Saccharomyces cerevisiae S288C: one gene and its partners. Changing the gene in region 3 together with the main gene of any one other region gives a genetic interaction. Each region holds a gene or a part of one and is shown on either strand. Other genes may lie near its edges. The genes, in order: YOR192C-C, RTS2 and TPH3.

The links.
Region 1: mutations in TPH3 (region 3) and YOR192C-C together harm fitness more than expected from each alone (negative genetic interaction), as found in Saccharomyces cerevisiae (one large-scale study listed by BioGRID).
Region 2: mutations in TPH3 (region 3) and RTS2 together harm fitness more than expected from each alone (negative genetic interaction), as found in Saccharomyces cerevisiae (one large-scale study listed by BioGRID).

What each region holds. Positions count from the first base shown.
Region 1 is NC_001147.6:703,363-706,050, forward strand, and holds YOR192C-C (uncharacterized protein), read right to left. Parts: upstream 863-2,688; coding exon 626-862; downstream 1-625.
Region 2 is NC_001147.6:469,766-473,097, forward strand, and holds RTS2 (Rts2p), read left to right. Parts: upstream 1-2,133; coding exon 2,134-2,832; downstream 2,833-3,332. Other genes in the region: SKI7 (Ski7p), read right to left, coding at 1-1,855; BUD21 (Bud21p), read left to right, coding at 2,960-3,332.
Region 3 is NC_001142.9:403,590-407,938, reverse strand, and holds TPH3 (Tph3p), read right to left. Parts: upstream 2,352-4,349; coding exon 666-2,351; downstream 1-665. Other genes in the region: chaperonin-containing T-complex subunit CCT3, read right to left, coding at 1-381; MPS3 (Mps3p), read right to left, coding at 2,994-4,349.

The DNA of each region.
Region 1 (2,688 bases), on a different chromosome or scaffold from region 3:
GGTTATTTATCCAAGCAAGAATTTGACCCAACGTGCTCTATCTTGTTTGATTCACTAAGGTTTCTACTGTGAATTCTACGAATTTTGTGATAATGGTAGGGTTTCCATTCTTTTCAAAGGCTGTAATATTAGGTATACAGAATATACTAGAAATTCTCCTCCAGGATATAGAAATCCCCAAAATGGAATCGGTAGTTCAACAAATAATATTACGATTATTTCTCAATCTTTATGCCATCTTCTTTCACCGCATGTAATAGTATACTAGTAACACTAATACTATTTAACAGATGACATTTTAGAGTTGGAGGAGAACTTCTAGTATATTCTGTATATATAATATTATAGCCTTTATCAAAAATGGAATCCAAACAATTATCTCAAAATTCACCAATATCTTACGTTGATTCTGTTGGAACGAGAGTAATTAATAGTGACATGAGTTGCTATGGTAACAATCTAATGCTTACATCGTATATTAATGTACACCTCGTATACGTTTAAGTGTGATTGTGCCTATTGCAGAAGGAATGTTAAACGAGAAGCTCAGACCATACTGAAGCTGTGTTAAAGACCTATTAGTTGAACATGATATGGTAGGTACATATATGAGGAATATGAGTCGTCACATCAATGTATAGTAACTACCGGAATCACTATTATATTGGTCATGATTAATATGACCAATCGGCGTGTGTTTTTGAAAAGTGGGTGAATTTTGAGATAATTGTTGGGATTCCATTTTTAATAAGGCAATAATATTAGGTATGTAGAATGTACTAGAAGTTCTCCTCAAGGATTTAGGAATCCATGAAAGGGAATCTGCAATTCTACACAATTCTATAAATATTATTATCATCATTTTATATGTTAATATTCATTGATCCTATTACATTATCAATCCTTGCGTTTCAGCTTCCACTAATTTAGATGACTATTTCTCATCATTTGCGTCATCTTCTAACACCGTATATGATAATATACTAGTAACGTAAATACTAGTTAGTAGATGATAGTTGATTTTTATTCCAACATACCACCCATAATGTAATAGATCTAATGAATCCATTTGTTAGTTAATAGTTTAAATGTTTTTATCGGAAGAGGTTTTGTCATCACATCAGCAATGTTCTTATTGGTCTCGATGTAGTATACGTATAAATTATTACCTGATACTTCATCTCTAAGTCTCATTGCCTTCGTGCCAAAAAATCTGTTTCTAAATTTCTCTTCATTTGTAGACTTAATTATACTGATCGTTGATCTACTATCAGTAAGTAAGCCTTTAATAATTGGTTTCTTGTTAAGTTCTTGCACAAGGTGACTGAGGTTATTCAATAGCGGTATAGCTTCACTGACTGCGTGTATTTCTGCTTCTGTAGTTGAAGTGCATGTTAACGAAGCCTTTGTCGACTTTCCTCCAATCACTTTTCCGTTGAGTAGGAAAATGTTACCAATTTGTGACTTGTAATATGGTTGGTTACCATATGAAGCATCGCTTATTGCGACTAGTTTATTATCTGGCTTGGTAGGTTTGTTTTTGTGCCATATTAATTGTTTATCTCTAGTGTCCCACATGAATTGTATTAACTCATATGTCATGTCTAAAACTTGCCTAGAGGGGAATAGTATATGTTGAGCAAGTGTGTTGATGTAGTATAGTAAGTCAAATCTAAATTTATATCCAACATATGAAGCTAGACCAATCAACTTTTGCATTTCATGCACTTTCTCTTTGTATTCATCTTCATCTATTTCTAGTTCATCCTGGTCTATATAATGACCTGGTTGACCTGGAGCTCTAAGTTTCTTTCCTTTTGGGTTCAAAGGTACGTTTAGTTTGGGTAATTTTTCTGTCAAGGATTTTTCCATACCTAATTTCATGTACTTGCTTCTTTGATATTTGATCTCTAATCCAAGTATGTCGTACTGAATTTCGTTATCACCTTCACCCAGATTTATTATCTTTGTATCGTATTGTTTCTTGAGTGTTGTTATGATTTTCTTATTTGCATTTAAGTCTTTGCTAAATAAAATCATGTCGTCAACGAATAAGCAAATTGTTACTTGACTATTCTTAAATACGCATGACCATCCGCGAACTTCTTGCATGTCGCAACAATTTATTAAATATGATTTAATGGTTTCATACCAGTTTGCACCACTTTGTTTCAAACCATAGAGTGATTTTCTCAAACGTAGTAATTTATCATTCAAACCTAAATGTGGTGGAGGTCTTATGTATAATTCTTCTTTGATATCAGCATATAAGTAAGCAGAGGATATGTCCAGCTGTGTGATATAATAGTCGTTGTCTAATGCGATTGACAGTGACGTCATCAGTGCATAGTGATGTACGGTATTGGATTGCATATCAGAATCATATGTATCGGGGTGTTGAATGTCGCCTCTTGCAACAAATCTAGCTTTGTGTGTACCATCACGTTTCTTGTTAAATATAAACATTGAGTTTATTACTTTTTTAGGATCTATGTCATTTCTATCATAATATTTGTTTGTATCCCAAGTGTTCATTTTCAATAGTTGGCTAATTTCTTTATGATAAGCTTCAACATATCTGTCTTTTTCTTTGTTGTCTTTATTATAAGTAATTGCTTCATCATATCTTAAGGTCGTTCGAACTGGTTTGATCGATTTCACTCCTTTTATTGCTGCAATTAAATTTAT
Region 2 (3,332 bases), on a different chromosome or scaffold from region 3:
TCGTGAAGTCTTCGGTATTATGAATCTTAACAAGAACCTCTAAAATGTCAGGGTTCAAACCGACTGATATATTATTTTTTGTGTTAGTCTCCAGTATTTGTTTTGAATTCTTCATTCTTGAAACTATACCATAGTAATGAAAATCTTCATATTGTGTATGAATTTCAATTGTCTGGCCTGATTGAATATATCCGCTGTTGATCAAGACTTTGAGTGACACGTAATTTATCTCCGCTATCGGTTGAAGAACAGAAGATTGCAGTATTGTGCCTACAAATGGCTCTTCCAAAGTTGTTTCTATTTTGTTCATATTATGCTCTACCAATAGATATAGTTGCGAAAAAAATGTCGGACCTTCATACCATTCGGGAACATAATTTATAGAGTCAAATTCTGACTTATACTTAGATTTTGTGATGTTTTCAGTTTTATTCAAATTCGAACCTAATAAACCCGAACACGGGATAAATTGGAATTCTGCGTCTGTCCACTGAAAGTTTTCCTTCAACACATAATTTAGCTCAGACTGAATCATTTCTAGTCGGTGCTTATCCCAACTAATTAGATCTGCCTTATTCAAAAGAATTATCAAGTGCTTTTTGCATGCGGAATTCTTGTTCAAATAAGAGATCACTTTTAAAATTTCATAAATCTGATTATTTGGACCATCTAATGATTTTTCCCACGAGTCATAATTGCAATCAATAACCAATACATAAACTTCAGGATCAAAGGTCAAAATTGAGTTCAGAGTTTCTTTATTGAAGTATTTGATACTACCAGGAGTGTCTATAAGCGTCAAGGTTGATGATGGCGGTAGTAAATCATTTTCTACCTGAATAACTTTCTTAAACATGGAAAATCCATTTTCTCTTTCTGTTTTGGTATTGTCTAGAATGACCTTAAAACTATTTGAAGATGAAGGATCCAAATTACTGCTTTTTTTTTGTAGTTCCCTCATTGATGACATAGAAATTTCGTTTAGATCATATAAAAGATGACCAAGCAAAGTGGATTTGCCTGCGTTTGTATCACCGAGGAACAAACATGTCAAATTCAGAGGATGGGTGGCAATGAATGAATGAATATCAATCGACTCAGTAGGTGGTGTTTGAAGGTTAATTGGTTCCTTTTTTTCGGCCTTGGGCACAGATTTGATATTTAAGTTTTCTAATTTTTCATTGAAAGCATTAAGTTGGGCCGATTGTATTATATCATCAGGACTTGGTCTATTGAAATTCTCAATGGCTACTTTACGAGTTGTTTTCGGCAGGTTACAAGGCACAAAAATACCAAGGAGCTCATTGTTATGCTTTTTTAAGGACAGAAATGATGAATTCTGCGACGATAGCGGTATTGATGTACTCAACGAGTTTTTTTTATCTTTTATGATAAAGTTTGTGAACGCAAAATCGTCGGTTTGATTTATGCATGGATCGTTTTTCAAGAAACAGTAATGGTTCATTTCTTTAATAGCCTTCCATGACTCTTCTAAGTTGAGTTTATCATCAGGCGATTTCCTTTTGGTAGGGAGTTCGTTTTCTTTGCTGTCTAATGTCACTGATTTTCCTTGTTTCTCCAAATCACTATTTGACTTCTTTAAGGCAGACAACTTTAAACTCAATGAAACACTATGCTGGTTCGGGGTAAAGTCGCTTCTTTTTACCTTGTCTTTTGCAAGTAGCGTCTTCAGATCCTTCCTTTTTGTCTCAGCATTGTTATCTTTAGTTTCTCTATTCTTATGTAGTCTTTCTAGTAAGGATGCACTTTTCGATGTACTATGAGACTGGTCCGCACTTAAAAGGCCTTTAGATTTTTCTATTCTTTTTCTTGCTAATTGCTCTAATAACGACATGTCAGGTGGTACTGTAAGTTTCGAAGACCACCTCCTCGTACGTGTATTGTAGAAGGGTCTCTAGGTTTATACCTCCAATCTGTTATAGTACATATTATAGTACACCAATGTAAATCTGGTCCGGGTTACACAACACTTTGTCCTGTACTTTGAAAACTGGAAAAACTCCGCTAGTTGAAATTAATATCAAATGGAAAAGTCAGTATCATCATTCTTTTCTTGACAAGTCCTAAAAAGAGCGAAAACACAGGGTTGTTTGATTGTAGAAAATCACAGCGATGGCAGATTATGATAGTGCGAAATATTGGTCCAAGCAGGGAGCTCGTCGTGGGTTACAGAAAACCCGTTACTACTGCCAAATATGCCAAAGGCAATGTAAAGATGCAAACGGATTTCAATCACATAACAAATCGCCATCTCATTTAAGGAAGATTAGTCAAGTGACAGCTGAGGACGCTAGGCGCTACAATATCCAGTTTGAAAAGGGATTTCTACAGTTATTGAAGCAGCGGCACGGAGAAAAATGGATTGATGCTAACAAAGTATACAACGAGTATGTTCAAGATCGCGATCATGTACATATGAATGCCACCATGCATCGTTCTTTGACGCAGTTTGTCCGGTACCTAGGCCGCGCGGGCAAGGTAGACGTGGATATGGATATTGATGATACATCTGAGAACGTTGAAGGTCCTTTGCTTATCAGGATCCATCCCTCATCTTTATCATCACCTTCTGAAGATGGAATGCTGCGAAGTCAACAAGAGGAGCAAGAAGTCATAGCCGCCGAGCTTTTGAAAAGACAACTCAATCGTGCTAAGCGACAAACTGAAAAGGTATATCAACCAGAGATGAAATCGGAAATTAGCGGGGATAGCACTCTGAAACGTGTTCAAGTCACCTTCCACGGGAATGGTCGGGTAAATAAAAAGAAAAAGAAGGTTCCTCCACGGAAAGATGGTATCAAGTTCCGTTGATTGAAAATTTTTCTTTTCAAGCGATGAGGTTAGCGAAGTTGTTCGAACAAGCCCAAATATGTTTAGAAGGCAGTACGAATTGATACCCTGAACTGTTACTACCCGTATACACGTATTAAGTAAGACAATGAGTAATGGACACGTCAAGTTTGATGCCGATGAAAGTCAAGCCAGCGCAAGTGCTGTCACGGATAGACAAGATGATGTGCTGGTAATATCAAAAAAGGACAAGGAAGTGCATTCAAGTAGTGATGAGGAAAGTGATGATGATGATGCTCCACAAGAAGAAGGGCTTCACTCTGGGAAAAGTGAGGTAGAATCACAGATCACTCAGAGGGAGGAGGCTATAAGGCTGGAACAATCACAATTGCGGTCCAAGAGAAGGAAGCAAAATGAATTATACGCCAAGCAAAAGAAATCAGTGAATGAGACAGAGGTCACTGATGAAGTAATTGCGGAGCTTCCTGAGGAATTGCTAAAAAATATAGATCAGAAGGACG
Region 3 (4,349 bases):
TTTCTTCAAGGCTTGGATAATAATAACAGGGTGAATATTTTTTTCAATCAAATAAGGTGCACACTGAGCTAAAATCTCACCAGCTAGAATAATAACTGTTGTAGTCCCGTCACCAACCTCTTCGTCTTGAGTACGGGATAACTCCAACATTGATTTAGCTGCTGGATGTGCAACATCAATTTCCCTTAAAATAGCGTGGCCATCGTTAGTCAACACAAGACCGCCCATAGGATCCAATAACATCTTTAACATAGCTTTTGGACCTAAGCAAGTTCGAATGACATCGGCAACTGCCTTTGCAGCAGTGATATTGGAGATTTGGGCCTGACGACCGGTAGTTCTCTCTTGAGAAGCATTCATAAATACCACTGGAGCTTGCATTGTGGCTTATATCACTATTGTACTTGATGATTTTCAACGTATGATCACTCGATATTATCGATGCTTTTTTGATATAATGCTCTCTACTCACTTTATTGAGTGGCGATTTGCTATTTTTTTTTCTTCGCACCATGCGTCACGTTAAACGAAAAAGTTTAGTATTAGGATGGAAGTATATAATATCACATAAGATTATATCAGGGTATATTTGGCTATACAGAAACTGTACCACAAATATATACACTGTATGTAAGTTTTTGAGATGTGGCTATATATGCGAAGAACTATGCAATGGGCGAAGTACTTGCGACGATAGGACGTTCGCACATAGAACTTTTGTATTCATGGGCGTTTACTTGCAATTGATTCATCATATTAGTCGTTTCAGAACTAACATTGCTTTTATCACTCAATGAAAATTCCTTCACAGAATTATCCTTGTCACTCATGCAATTAAGTTTAGAGTGATCCCTCGTAGTATTATACATGCCCATTACATCACTAAAGGTCCTGAAGTTGAGTTCTGTGTTTCTCTTGGAGACTTTTGTCATTCTTTCTTGCAGGTAGCTAGAAAATCTTGACATAGTTAAAGCCATAGTATCGTCAGTATCTTTTTCTTTCAAAGGATTAAATTCCTGGGTCATCAAATGGGCAATCTCCTCTTCAGCAAAATAATCCACTGAGGGCAATTTAGGTAATCCAAACATTAACGAATTTATATCGGTTCTTTCTGTCTTGAATTGAACTGGACGCCCATAAAGTCTTGCACAATCCATCAAAGGAATAATGAACCTGATCATTGCTTCCAGGTGATGTACGCCATGATGGGGCAATGGCCTAATCAAAAGCCCATTTGTACGTGTAGTGAAGTTAGTTATAGGCTTTTTTGTTGATCTAGAAGTTAACGAACTTACATGGGAGCTATTTCTTCTGTGCCCTTTAGGTGAAAAGAAAGTTCTACTTTTTGGTGTAGTGTTAGGACTTTCATTATTCAATGCTGTCGAGCTGCTGTCACCACTGCCGTTGTTTGCACTACTATAGATGGATCCACTATCCACCACATCATTAAAGTCCGTATCACTGCAAAAGCGTACATTACCAACGAGCTTTATCATTTGCAACCCTTGAAAAAAGTCGTTCATATTTTTAGAAGGTTCTGCCGCATTGATGTTATAAAAGAAAATATCTTGAACGTACTCATTGTCAGGAATAAAAAAAACGCAGTTCTTGCTAGATGTGGATTTGTCATCTCTATAAAACCGTATTTGATACTTTCCTTTAGCATCATTGTCACTACTACTTTTAGAATTATTGGTTTTAGACACTTTATCAATATGACACCACACTTTCACCCAACCTTGACCATCAAGATAAACTTCACACCAATCCTTAAAATTGAACGGCGAGTTCAAAATGATATGCATATCAGACATTCTCAGCCCATAAGAGGAAATCACTGTGCCTGTCAAGGCCTTATATATAGAAATGAACTCAAAAATAGAAATCATACACAACCTTTTGAACTTCTCCAGTAAACCAAAATCGTTACATGTGATAGATAGTTGGCCATTATTGAATTGCAGGAACTCTCCAACGCTTGAAATTTCACATTGGTTTATGTTGGAAGGGGAATCTATGATGGCCACGTCTGCGACTTGTACAGAGGAATTTGTGATAATTATATGAGAGCCGAGCAAAGAAATTGACTCTGCTTCAAAAACATGTCCAGAAGAATCCTTAACATTCCATACAGCCTCAGCGTCGGAAGATTGGAAGTAAATCTTATTTGCGTGTGCTTGCAGAAGCTTAAATATAGGTTTAGTGATGCTGAAAAGCTCTGGTGGTAATTCGAGGAAGGACCGTGAACTTACTGGGTGGCTACTTAAATTGATGCTGGTAGCACTGCGGGAGAATTTGGGGAGCGAACTCTTGATATTAACAGGTTTTTTCAGCGAGTCCAAAATGCCCATTTTAATTTTTTTTGTCTCTTGCAATAGAGTCGTGTTGTGAAAAAAATCTAAAGGCGTTGAAGTTACGTTCTGAGATACTTTTAAAAGACCTGATGATGATAAATATGCCAAGAATATAGGAACTTAGTTAAGCCTTCTTGCTATGTTATTTGAAACTAAAAAAGATGTACGTCAATAATAAGTAAACGAAGAAAATGGAAACGAGAGCAAAAAAAAACTTGTGATAGAAATGAATGAAAAGGGCTGAGTATTGAAACAAAACCAAGTCCTTTATGCTATGTCTTAAAATTTCCCTTTTTTACCTTTTTTTTTTGCAGATATTTCTGATTTTCATTCAGCTTTTTAAGTAGGGAAAATTTCCCGCAAAACTGCACGAAAAAAGATATTCCGATTTCCAAACGACTGCAGTCTTAAATAGCACGAGGAAATTTCCATGAGCTGTTAATCGCAGAGCGTGAGTCCACGCATGGGAGCAACATCTGAATGCCGTGTGGCTGTGTTCAAGGTTGGAATTCAGAATAACGCCAGTACCGAAAGAGAGTGGTGAGTAGCTGATTAACTCTATGATTTAAAGGGAGTGCCGTCAATCTGCGCGATTTTCTGGGGGCCAGGGGGTTAGAACGTTTAATTTTTTATTGTCGTTTATTGATCTAGCTCATCTTGGCCAAATGATGGGACGTTAGAAGCGGGATGAAACTTGGTACTAGTAGATGAAGACGCGTAAGGAGGCTTTGATAGGAGAACTTTCCTCTTGCCTTCGTCGGTGTTCTGAGTGACACCATATTCTGGGGTGTCACCCAGTAAAACAGGGAACTCGTTATTTTCAATTATTTGCAAATCCTGCGGTGTCACTCCGTTGATGATAAATTTCCTCAGAGATATGAACTTTTTGTTCCCGTAGTTCTCGTCCACTTGAAAGACAATTGAGCGTACGAGTGGTTTTAACTGAATGAACCATGGGGGCAGATACATTTGTTGGCGTATTCTAGAATCTGTCAACCTGTACTCAAATTTTGCGATCTTGATGTAATTTCGGTCTCTCTTGTGATGCTGCCCGAAACCGTATTGATTTGCCAATGTCTGCAATGCTTTGATCTCTTTAGTCTGTGACAGTTTTACATATAATGAGATCAGTCTTGGTGCTGAGTTCATTATATGTAGGTTATTAGTAAAACGGCCATGCATGTACGAAATTTTGGTTAGATACAAAGGAGTTTTAAACCTTATGGCCCATGAACACCCAGGTTCGTTCTCACATTGCCAGTAAGTTGAGGAGCTTTGTTTGGAGTCGGTCAGTAATTCTATCGGCTGTACCCCACTGCCCTGTCTCCAGGTTGGTGAAGTTAAATGGTTCAATAGTTTAGTACCTTGAACATAAGTAGCAAAATCTAAATCGTCCTCCCATTGGTGTTGATTGGAATTGTAAATTTGGTGAATTAATCTTTTCATTAATATGCTCGAATACTGCTGTGGCACGTTAGAATAATCCTGTTGAACCTGCTGCTGCTGCTGCTGCTGCTGTGTCTCTAACCTATTTGTGATCTCTTCCCAAATCTCCTGTTTGTTAGATTGCAACCTTCTGTTCATTTCTTGGATGAAATAATCCTTATCGATATATTGCAACTCATTCGAAAGAATTTCCTTTACATAGCGATTCAAATCATACTCCCAACGACTTTCAGCGCTTCCAGCAGTACCAATGCCTGGAGACTCAATAACGTCTGAAATCAAAGCACTCAAATAATTGTGCAATTCAGGGATTATTAAAAGCGACGAAGAATTATTAATTACAACGGGTATTTCTTGAGGGAGGTGTGTATCCAACTGTTTTACCAGTTGATCTTGCCATTGAGTAACATTCTCGACCGTAAATTTGTGATTTCGCCTCTGTAACTCACTCATGGAAGTTGAAATTGTCTCAACCTGTTTTGTCAGCGAGTTAATGTCATTTTCAAAATTAACCAAATTTGAGGGTAAAAGTCTTTTAATATTCTTTTC